2 linked regions of the Neurospora crassa OR74A genome follow. The protein of the gene in region 1 purifies or fractionates together with the protein of each later gene. This does not show direct contact. Links are inferred from orthologs where the notes say so. Each region holds a gene or a part of one and is shown in the gene's direction. Other genes may lie near its edges.

The links.
Region 2: the proteins of fes-1 (region 1) and cox-4 purify together in Saccharomyces cerevisiae (affinity purification with western blotting; 8 studies listed by BioGRID, with this or other methods). This does not show direct contact. The link is inferred for Neurospora crassa OR74A from reciprocal best matches to the Saccharomyces cerevisiae genes RIP1 and COX4.

Annotation. Positions count from the first base shown.
Region 1 is NC_026504.1:1,784,983-1,789,245, forward strand, and holds fes-1 (ubiquinol-cytochrome c reductase iron-sulfur subunit), read left to right. Parts: upstream 1-1,423; 5' UTR 1,424-1,630; coding exon 1,631-1,904; intron 1,905-2,229; coding exon 2,230-2,318; intron 2,319-2,440; coding exon 2,441-2,591; intron 2,592-2,712; coding exon 2,713-2,894; 3' UTR 2,895-3,622; downstream 3,623-4,263. Other genes in the region: dim-8 (DNA damage-binding protein 1), read left to right, coding at 1-563, 632-943. UniProt on the Saccharomyces cerevisiae protein: Component of the ubiquinol-cytochrome c oxidoreductase, a multisubunit transmembrane complex that is part of the mitochondrial electron transport chain which drives oxidative phosphorylation.
Region 2 is NC_026503.1:513,992-518,407, reverse strand, and holds the start of cox-4 (cytochrome c oxidase polypeptide IV), read left to right. Parts: upstream 1-1,350; 5' UTR 1,351-1,554; coding exon 1,555-1,645; intron 1,646-1,899; coding exon 1,900-1,944; intron 1,945-2,357; coding exon 2,358-2,516; intron 2,517-2,577; coding exon 2,578-2,678; intron 2,679-2,741; coding exon 2,742-2,906; 3' UTR 2,907-3,655; coding exon of another isoform or gene 3,656-4,416. Other genes in the region: NCU16615 (hypothetical protein), read right to left, coding at 53-373; NCU05688 (hypothetical protein), read right to left, coding at 3,656-4,416. UniProt on the Saccharomyces cerevisiae protein: Component of the cytochrome c oxidase, the last enzyme in the mitochondrial electron transport chain which drives oxidative phosphorylation.

The DNA of each region.
Region 1 (4,263 bases):
ACAGCAACCGGGATCCGTACTTGGTCCTCAAGCACGAGCTGAAAGGCGGCTGTCGCGCTCTGGCGGTCATGGGCAGCAAAATCGTGGCTGCACTCCACAAGACAGTGGTTATCAGCCAGTACGAGGAAACGTCAAGCACTGAGGCCCATCTCGTCAAGCTCGCGTCTTATCGGTGCACAACTTATCCGGTCGACATCGCGGTGCATGGCAACATGATTGCTGTTGCTGATATGATGAAGTCGGCTACACTGGTCGAGTACGTCCCGGCCAAAACCGGAGGGGAGAAGTCCGAAGCCCCCAAGTTGGTAGAGTGCGCGAGACACAGGCATTCTGCGTGGGCAACGGCCGTGGCTCACGTTGAGGGCGAGTCTTGGCTTGAAGCTGATGCCAATGGCAATCTGATCGTGCTTCAACGCAATGCTGAGGGCGTGACAGTGGAGGACCAGCGGCAACTGAGGATAACAAGCGAGCTCAACCTGGGAGAACAGGTGAACAAAATACGCCCGATCAAGGTCGAGACTAGCCCGAACGCCATCATCATTCCTCGAGCGTTCTTGGCCACGGTAAGTTGCCTGTTTCTCAGATTGATCATGTCACAAGGTCAAGGCTAACAATTGACTTGATAAAACAGGCGGAAGGCGGTATTTACATGTTTGGTACGATTGCGCGCGAACAAGACCTCTTACTTCGGTTCCAGGATAAACTGGCGGCGGTGATCAAGACAGTTGGCGAACTCGATTTCAACTCCTACAGGGCATTCCGCAATGCGGAAAGGGGGCCCGAGGCAGATGGAACGACTGGGCCGGTCAGGTTCCTGGATGGGGAGTTGCTGGAGAGGTTTTTGGATGTGGATGAGAAGACGCAGAAGGAGATCTGCGAAGGTCTTGGGCCGAGCGTTGAGCAGATGCGCAATATGGTAGAGGAGCTACGGAGGATGCACTGAGCCAACGGTTAGACACTTAACGTGCATGATTGGATGTCTACAAGTCATCGCTTTGGCTGCTGAAGATTTTGGCAGTTGCAAGTGTTGTCAATAAGTGCTGTGCTCAAAACATGGCTGCATAGGGTGAGAGAAGATGAGTCTGTGAATAGCCTCAGATGAACGAATGAATTATGTATGATCAATAGATCAATTGACATCACTGTCTTGGCACCCTTGGCTCGCCGAGTCGCTGACAGTTCAAGTTGTCCGGGCGCTGCGGTGACGCGCTGAGGTGAGCCCCACCACCACCATCACCACCACCAACAGGACGAACCAGGCGACGGAAGAAACCGGAGAGTGGACGAACAGGCAGTCACAGCCAATCAGGGCCGGCGCATTAAGTAGCTCTCTAGCTGCTGGGCGGACGCTGTGGTTGGTTAGTGCCTCAGGCCACAAGCCAGTAGCTATGGCGGTTTCCCATGCCGGGAAAGGTGGGAACCAAGCTCGGCCCAGAAAAACCTCAGTCCGTGATTTTGGCCTCGTCGTCTCGACCGCATTACGCAGCCGTCAATTCCGTCTCCGGAACACCGCCCACGTCCACCGTCCTCCCGCGACTCCGAAAGAGCAGAACCTCGCTCGATCTCCCCGCTCTCGCAACCCCCTCTCTCCGCTCCGACCTCTGTCCACGCGAGTAATTCTACCGACACAATGGCGCCCGTCTCGATCGTTTCCCGCGCCGCCATGCGCGCCGCTGCCGCCCCCGCCCGGGCCGTTCGCGCTCTCACCACCTCGACTGCCCTCCAGGGTTCCTCGTCCTCCACCTTCGAGAGCCCCTTCAAGGGCGAGAGCAAGGCCGCCAAGGTCCCCGACTTCGGCAAATACATGAGCAAGGCGCCCCCCAGCACCAACATGCTCTTCTCCTACTTCATGGTCGGCACCATGGGCGCCATCACCGCCGCCGGCGCCAAGTCCACCATCCAGGGTGAGTCTTGACTTGATGGGATTTGAGGAGGAAGCTTCACACATTCCTCGAGGTTGGGGAAAACAAAGAGGTGGCATAGGACAGATGGGTTCGGGTCAATGGGATTCGACAAGGGGGTTCTGTTATGGTGGGGCGAGCTATCTACGGTTCCGTCTCATCGATCACCAATTTGCGACCACTATGACAACTTTCGATATCGGGGCGGATATGGTTGGACCTTGGGGCGATGTTGAAGCATGGATACATGGGGAAAATGCCATCTTGCACATGCACCCACGAACACCCAAGAACTAAAGACAGCTGACGAGGCGACCGTGTTATACAGAGTTCCTCAAGAACATGTCGGCTTCCGCTGATGTCTTGGCCATGGCCAAGGTTGAGGTTGACCTCAACGCCATCCCCGAGGGCAAGAACGTAAGGATCCCTACGAAACCGGATTAGCAAAGGCTTGGGCTGAGCTGAGCTGGGCACATCGATTCCCGACGACGATCAAACCATGATGGAATGCTGACCCCGGTCTTTTCCTACTTTTACAGGTCATCATCAAGTGGCGTGGCAAGCCCGTCTTCATCCGTCACCGTACCCCTGCGGAGATCGAAGAGGCCAACAAGGTCAACGTTGCCACCCTCCGTGACCCCGAGACCGACGCCGACCGTGTCAAGAAGCCCGAGTGGCTCGTCATGCTTGGTACGCCCCTCCATGTCCCTCTTTGCGATCCGAACAAGACGAAGGATAGCATTTTTGGATGCTCAGATCCTGGATACACGACGATGTGGGGAGACTGACATTTGGTGTGTGAACAAAACAGGCGTCTGCACCCACTTGGGTTGCGTTCCCATCGGCGAGGCCGGTGACTACGGTGGCTGGTTCTGCCCTTGCCACGGTTCTCACTACGATATCTCTGGCCGTATCAGGAAAGGACCTGCCCCTCTGAACCTCGAGATCCCTCTCTACGAGTTCCCTGAGGAGGGCAAGCTTGTCATTGGTTAAGCGAGCAAAAAGACAAAACTTTCCGATTGAACAAACAAGACACAATTTTTAACCAAACCTACTAGGGAATCCTCTCGATATTCCCTTGTCCACTTTTTTTTTCCCTTGCTGCCCGAGAGACGATGACAGGGAGAATTGTATTAGTACGGGGGTATTGCGACAAAGGGCTTGAGTGGAAGCATGTCATAGACCATAAAACGGGATTTTTGTTTTCCGTGGTTCTTGACGCGGTTTCGTACGACTATCCTATAGACAGAAGACACACATACGCATACACAACAGCAAATCAGGTGTCACGGTCGATCATATGCGCTCGAGAGTCGGAAACTTCTATATACTCAGAACTGCGTTCTTCACCTACGCAACCCTACATACCTATTATTGGTGCTGAGCTTGGCGCTAGGTTGCTGCTGAGTGTTGTACCCTTGCGTTTTCCTATAGACTGGCTTTGTAGAAAATCCTATTGTATGAGAGGCTCACTGGAGCATGGTACCGTGAGAAGGTCTTCCTCGACCCATGGCAGTCGGCTGTGGCTAAGAGCTTTGTGAGGAAACCATAGGTCAGCTGATGAACCTCCCAATGCTAACGCATCTGATCATCCAACACGGCATTGGTAAATACAAATGGCCTTTTATGCGGGTGTGGGACAGACAGGCTACATGTCGAATTGCTGGAGAGCAGCTCGACCAGAATTACAGATGTTGACAACTTAATCTTAGCTTGGCCAACCTTGCGAATCAAGCCCAGTCGGTATACCCGCCCGTGCTACTCTGGTAGCTGAGTTAAGGAAACGCCCGCGAACCGGTAGCTTACCCTGGTTGTTTCATTGACGTCTGAGGAATTCTCCGAACGTAATTATATCTGAAGCCCGCCTTAACATCTTGTGCGCTACTCAAGCCGACACATAGTTAGTGCACTACCTCCAACCATAGCCCCTTGCCAATGCTGGCCGGGTGGGTTGCAGTCTCATTGCAGGGGCTAGGTTGTACCCCCATGCGCTCCCCCTTGCTCTGAGTCTTTTTCCCCCACAAACAAAACAACCTCATCTTTTGAACTTCGCCTTCCCGGGCGCGTCTTGACACAGCTTTCTCACTTCTTCACCAAATTCTCGAAACCCCTCACCCTTGCGGCTCAAAGGGGCTGCTCCTAGGGTCATGTAACAAGCGAAGTTCCATCGTTCGTCTGATCTGACTTGCCGACTACCCGAGGCACCATGGCGGCCACGATTCACCCACCACGACTGGACAAAGTTGTTCTCGAACATAAATTATGGCAGGCGCCACGGTCATTGACGGCGACCGAGATCGAGGCATGCCGATGCCACCGAAAGCGAGAAGTGAGGGGTGGGTGAACGTCGCAGTCAATCAAG
Region 2 (4,416 bases), on another chromosome or scaffold:
TTATTGGGTACCATTCAGAATGTATGCCTAAAGACAAAGCAGGAGCCCGATCCTATGGTCGGGTGGCTAGAACAGAGGTAGGTATGGTTCGTGGAATATTCCAAGACTTAAGCCCCTGTCTCACCATTCCATATCGCATGTTTCTCGACACCCACCTCATCCTCATCCAGTCAGGGGTATGCAAGCCATCCAGCACCATCGCCGGTTTTAGTATCGACCACGTGAGTGACATCCAAGACCCTGAAAACCGCTCAACTGAAGCAAACGACAGTAACTGCATGACGGGCTCCCCGCATACCCCAGTTGCCCAACTTCCAAAATGGGAAACAAAAAACGGGGTGCATCGTCTGTGCCTCAACAGGGCGAGAACCATGGGACAGGACTCTGGGGTTTGGGGATGGTGGTGTTCGGGAGGTGGGAATTTTCCGCCACTAGGAGGTGGTATCATGTAGGTAAGAATCTTACTTAGTGGGTAGGAGGCAGAGAGAGGAGTACGTAGCTGTAGGGCGTGGTCATGTGCTTAACAAGACGTCCTGTGTGTTTCCATGTCTTGAGCCTCCATGTTGAACAAGGTAAAATACGAGTGTTGTGTAAGCTCCCAGGCGTCCCAAACTCCGAACCCGACTCTCATATGCGAAATTTCACTGCCATGCATGCCTCCACCTCTTCCACAACCACCCAGCCCCTACAACTTCAGATACCACTTTCCTTTCTGCTCCTCCTTCTCAAGGAGCGGGTGGAGGTGAGAGGGGAGGGAGTTGACAAAGGACCGGTGGCGGTTACCGGCTGTGGTGAAGAAGCTGTGGATCGTTTGTTGTGTTGTGTTCTCGTTCGTGAGTTAGTTGGATAAGATAACTTGCACACTTCCGGAATGGTGCCGCTCCAACTTGCACAGGGCGCCGATCCGGGGATCCACTATCGGACACGGAAGCCGGATTGGGCCCGGTAGTTTGAAGCTGGAAAGCCCGAGTTCCGTTTGACGGGGTGGAGCATTGTCGATGTTTGATTGGGGCTTGGAGGGTTAGGGTCACGCCAGTCAAACCTGCAATAGCTTCATCAAGACCTTCTTCCTTCTGCTCCCAGTTAGCTCAATCATTATATAATCTATGCCGTACCCAAGTCAATTGAAACCTAGGATTGCTTCACACAGTCTCTTGCCATGTATTCATCACGCAATTGTCGCTTCACTTCATGGTACAGTACTGATGATATGAGCGGTCCCACGTGCTGCATCACCTGACCGTGCGCTAGCTGCTTCTGGCAACCAGCTGGGGAAGCTTTCCAGAATGTGGTCCAAGCGCCTCCATTCGTACCAAACAACCGCCCGTTCGCCAGTTGCCAGCGGCAGAAGGGAAGGGCAGCACGGTCGGGGCCTCTGTCCACTGCAGTGGTGCCCAGCTCAGCTGTGGGACCCACGGCAGTGTGGGCAAACCAGCTTCGGATTCGGACAGACAGCGACAAAACATCATCTCCCGCCTCTCCGCTCTCTCCCGGTCAATTCTGTCACTCCGACATCACACCATCCACCACCACCCACCCGCCGCCGTCGCCAACATGCTCCTGTCCCGCACCGCCGTCGCCGTCGCCCGCCGGGCCACCGCTGCCCCCGCTCTCCGTCGCAGCATCGCCACCACCGTTGTGCGCTGTAAGTGAACATTGGAAACGTCTCTTGGTTTTTAGCGGCTGCGGCCTGAAAAAAAGCACGGCATCCAAAAAAGCTCCAATCGCGAAGCTGCAAATATCCGCGCATAAGCATCATCACCACCACCACCACCAACGACGACGACATCATGACCCCACCACCACCTCGAACCAATTCGCGACAACCAAACGCGCATCAATCACAAACCCCCGAATCCCGATCGCAAAACTGACACCATGTTTTTATCTTGATTCCAGGCAACGCCGAGACCAAGCCTGTCCCCCACATCAAGCGTCTCTCCGGTATGATGATCTCCCCCCGCCGGCGATTGCGTCACCATTGTGTCTATTGGGGTTGCTGGAGAACTGGGCTACGCGAACTGGAAGCTGTGGTGGGTCTTTCGAAGCTCGAGCTGAGCTTAGTCAAGCTTGGGGGAGCTTGATGAAACAACAAGAAGAAGGAGGAGGAAAGCATTGGACGACCACAAAAAGGAGGGGGTTATTATCATTGCGCGGACGAACCGGAGAAGAAGCTCCTCGACCAGCTCAAGCTTGAGGCTCCCCTATCTACCACAGCTTCCACCGGCCGGGTAGCTCAGTTCAGCCCAGCTTCCCTATAGCCTCCACTCGCTCCATGACGATGCGGGGTGACGGACGAAACCGCATACGACGAAAAAACATACATGACTGACATATATACCTTTCGCGACAAACAGAGATCAAGACCAAGGATGACCTCTTCGGCCCCGGTGCCGCCCCCGGCACTGTCCCCACCGATCTCGAGCAGGCCACCGGTCTCGAGCGTCTCGAAATTCTCGGCAAGATGGAGGGCGTCGACGTTTTCGACATGAAGCCCCTTGATGCCTCCCGCAGGGGTAAGACTTGCTGTAATAACCTGGGTTGAGAGGAGCTGGGGGGTTGACAGTTGAAAAATAGGCACCATGGAGAACCCCATCTCCGTCCGCTCCGCCGGTGATGAGCAGTACGCCGGTTGCACTGGCTTCCCTGCCGACTCCCACAACGTCATCTGGCTCACCGTGAGTTTTTTCTCTTCTCTGTTTCTTCTACCGCTCAAATTGAGTATTCTAACCAAAAAATAGATGACCCGCGAGCGCCCCGTCGAGCGCTGCCCCGAGTGCGGCAACGTCTACAAGATGGACTACGTCGGTCCCCAGGACGACCACGCCCACGACCACGGCCACGACCACCACGGCTTCGAGGAGCCCAAGACCTTTGCCGACTACGTCAAGCCCGAGTACTGGTAAATTACCCAGTTGTGGGGTTTGCAAAGGGAGGTTTGAGGTTTTTGTGTAGTGGGTTGTTAATAGAAGAAGACATTGACAAATACGATGCATGCATATGACACAAGTTTACTGGGAGGCAAGCACTGTGAATGCGAACCTGGAGAACACGGGGGTGATGATGAGGCTGGGTAGGTGGTTGTTACCTCATTGGACTTGCATTCGGGAACCTAGAGCTGTAGATTTCTACCTAGAACCCTGGGGCCAAATAAATACTGAACATGGAATTGTATATACCATCGAGAAGCTCGAAAGAGGTTGGATTGGCGTGACAGTATCTAGATTCAGGATTGCTACTAGGGCTGTTTGCTCAGAGTGCATTCGCAGAATCATCTAGACTCGACCTTCTCTGCGGTACCGAGCAACAAGACTCGAGACCATCCAAGATAGCTTCTTCTGCCTGGCACTGAGTCAGAGCACCGCAGGATCGGGAACGACGTTCTGGCACAGCTCCCTATTGCTTTTCTCCGGACAGCTCTTGGGTAGTACTCCAGGCATAACGGCATAGACAAACTCGGACTTTGCATCCCTCGTCATCCGCAAGCTTGTCACCAGGTCGCGCATCTTGCGCCCTTCCACTTGCTATTGGGACATGCGCCGGCCGACGTGGTTGTTAGCCTTGAACACACACCTTCCTCTCGGCATGCCCCCCTTTTTTTTCTCCCGTCGGTGTTTATGTACTTCCAGCGCCCAAGCCCGATAACGACGGCATCTCAACCCTCCTCATCACCATCACCAAAGCTAAGCTTGATTTTCTTAGCCTTCTTCATGGCCGTCTTGGGCTTTGGTTTCTCCCCTGCCTGTTCCGTTTTTCCGCTTTGGTCTTTGGCATCTGTACCCTCAGCCTTTGCCTTTGGCTCCTTAGCATCCCCATCTTGCTCTTGATCAGAGTCATCATCGCCAGCAATGACCTTCCCTACCTTTCTCTTCTTCTTACTCGCTCCTATTCCCACTCCTTTCTCCTCCTTTGCCATCTTGTTATTCCCTTCTTTACTCCCCTCCCCATGTTTGTTTCTGTCCCCCCCTTCCCCTTCTCTCCCTTCTTGTTTTCCCTCCCCATCTTTCCCATCTTTTCCCCCCTCCCCCTCTTTCCCATCTTTTCCCCCCTCCCCCTCTTCCCCCTCTTGTCCCTGTCCCTCCCCCTCTGTGGTCCCCTCACCCTCCACCTTCGAACCAGACTCCATCACCCTCCCATCCTTCCCCACAGACACTCCATCAACCACATTCCCCTGTTCGTCCAAAACAAGCGGCGCGTCCTCCGCCTCCTCACTTCCACTCCTCGCTTTCTTCGTCGGTCGTCTCCGCGCAGCCAGGATCGGATCGGGACCGTCAAAGTTCCCGGGGGCATGTTGAGCATGCAACCGAGCGAGAAAGGGAGGGAGGGTAGCGGAGCGGTCGTAGTGGAGGTTTTTGGGGTTGAATTTCCCTCCTCCTGCGGAGCCGCCTCCGGAGCCACTGCCGGGACCAGCAGACA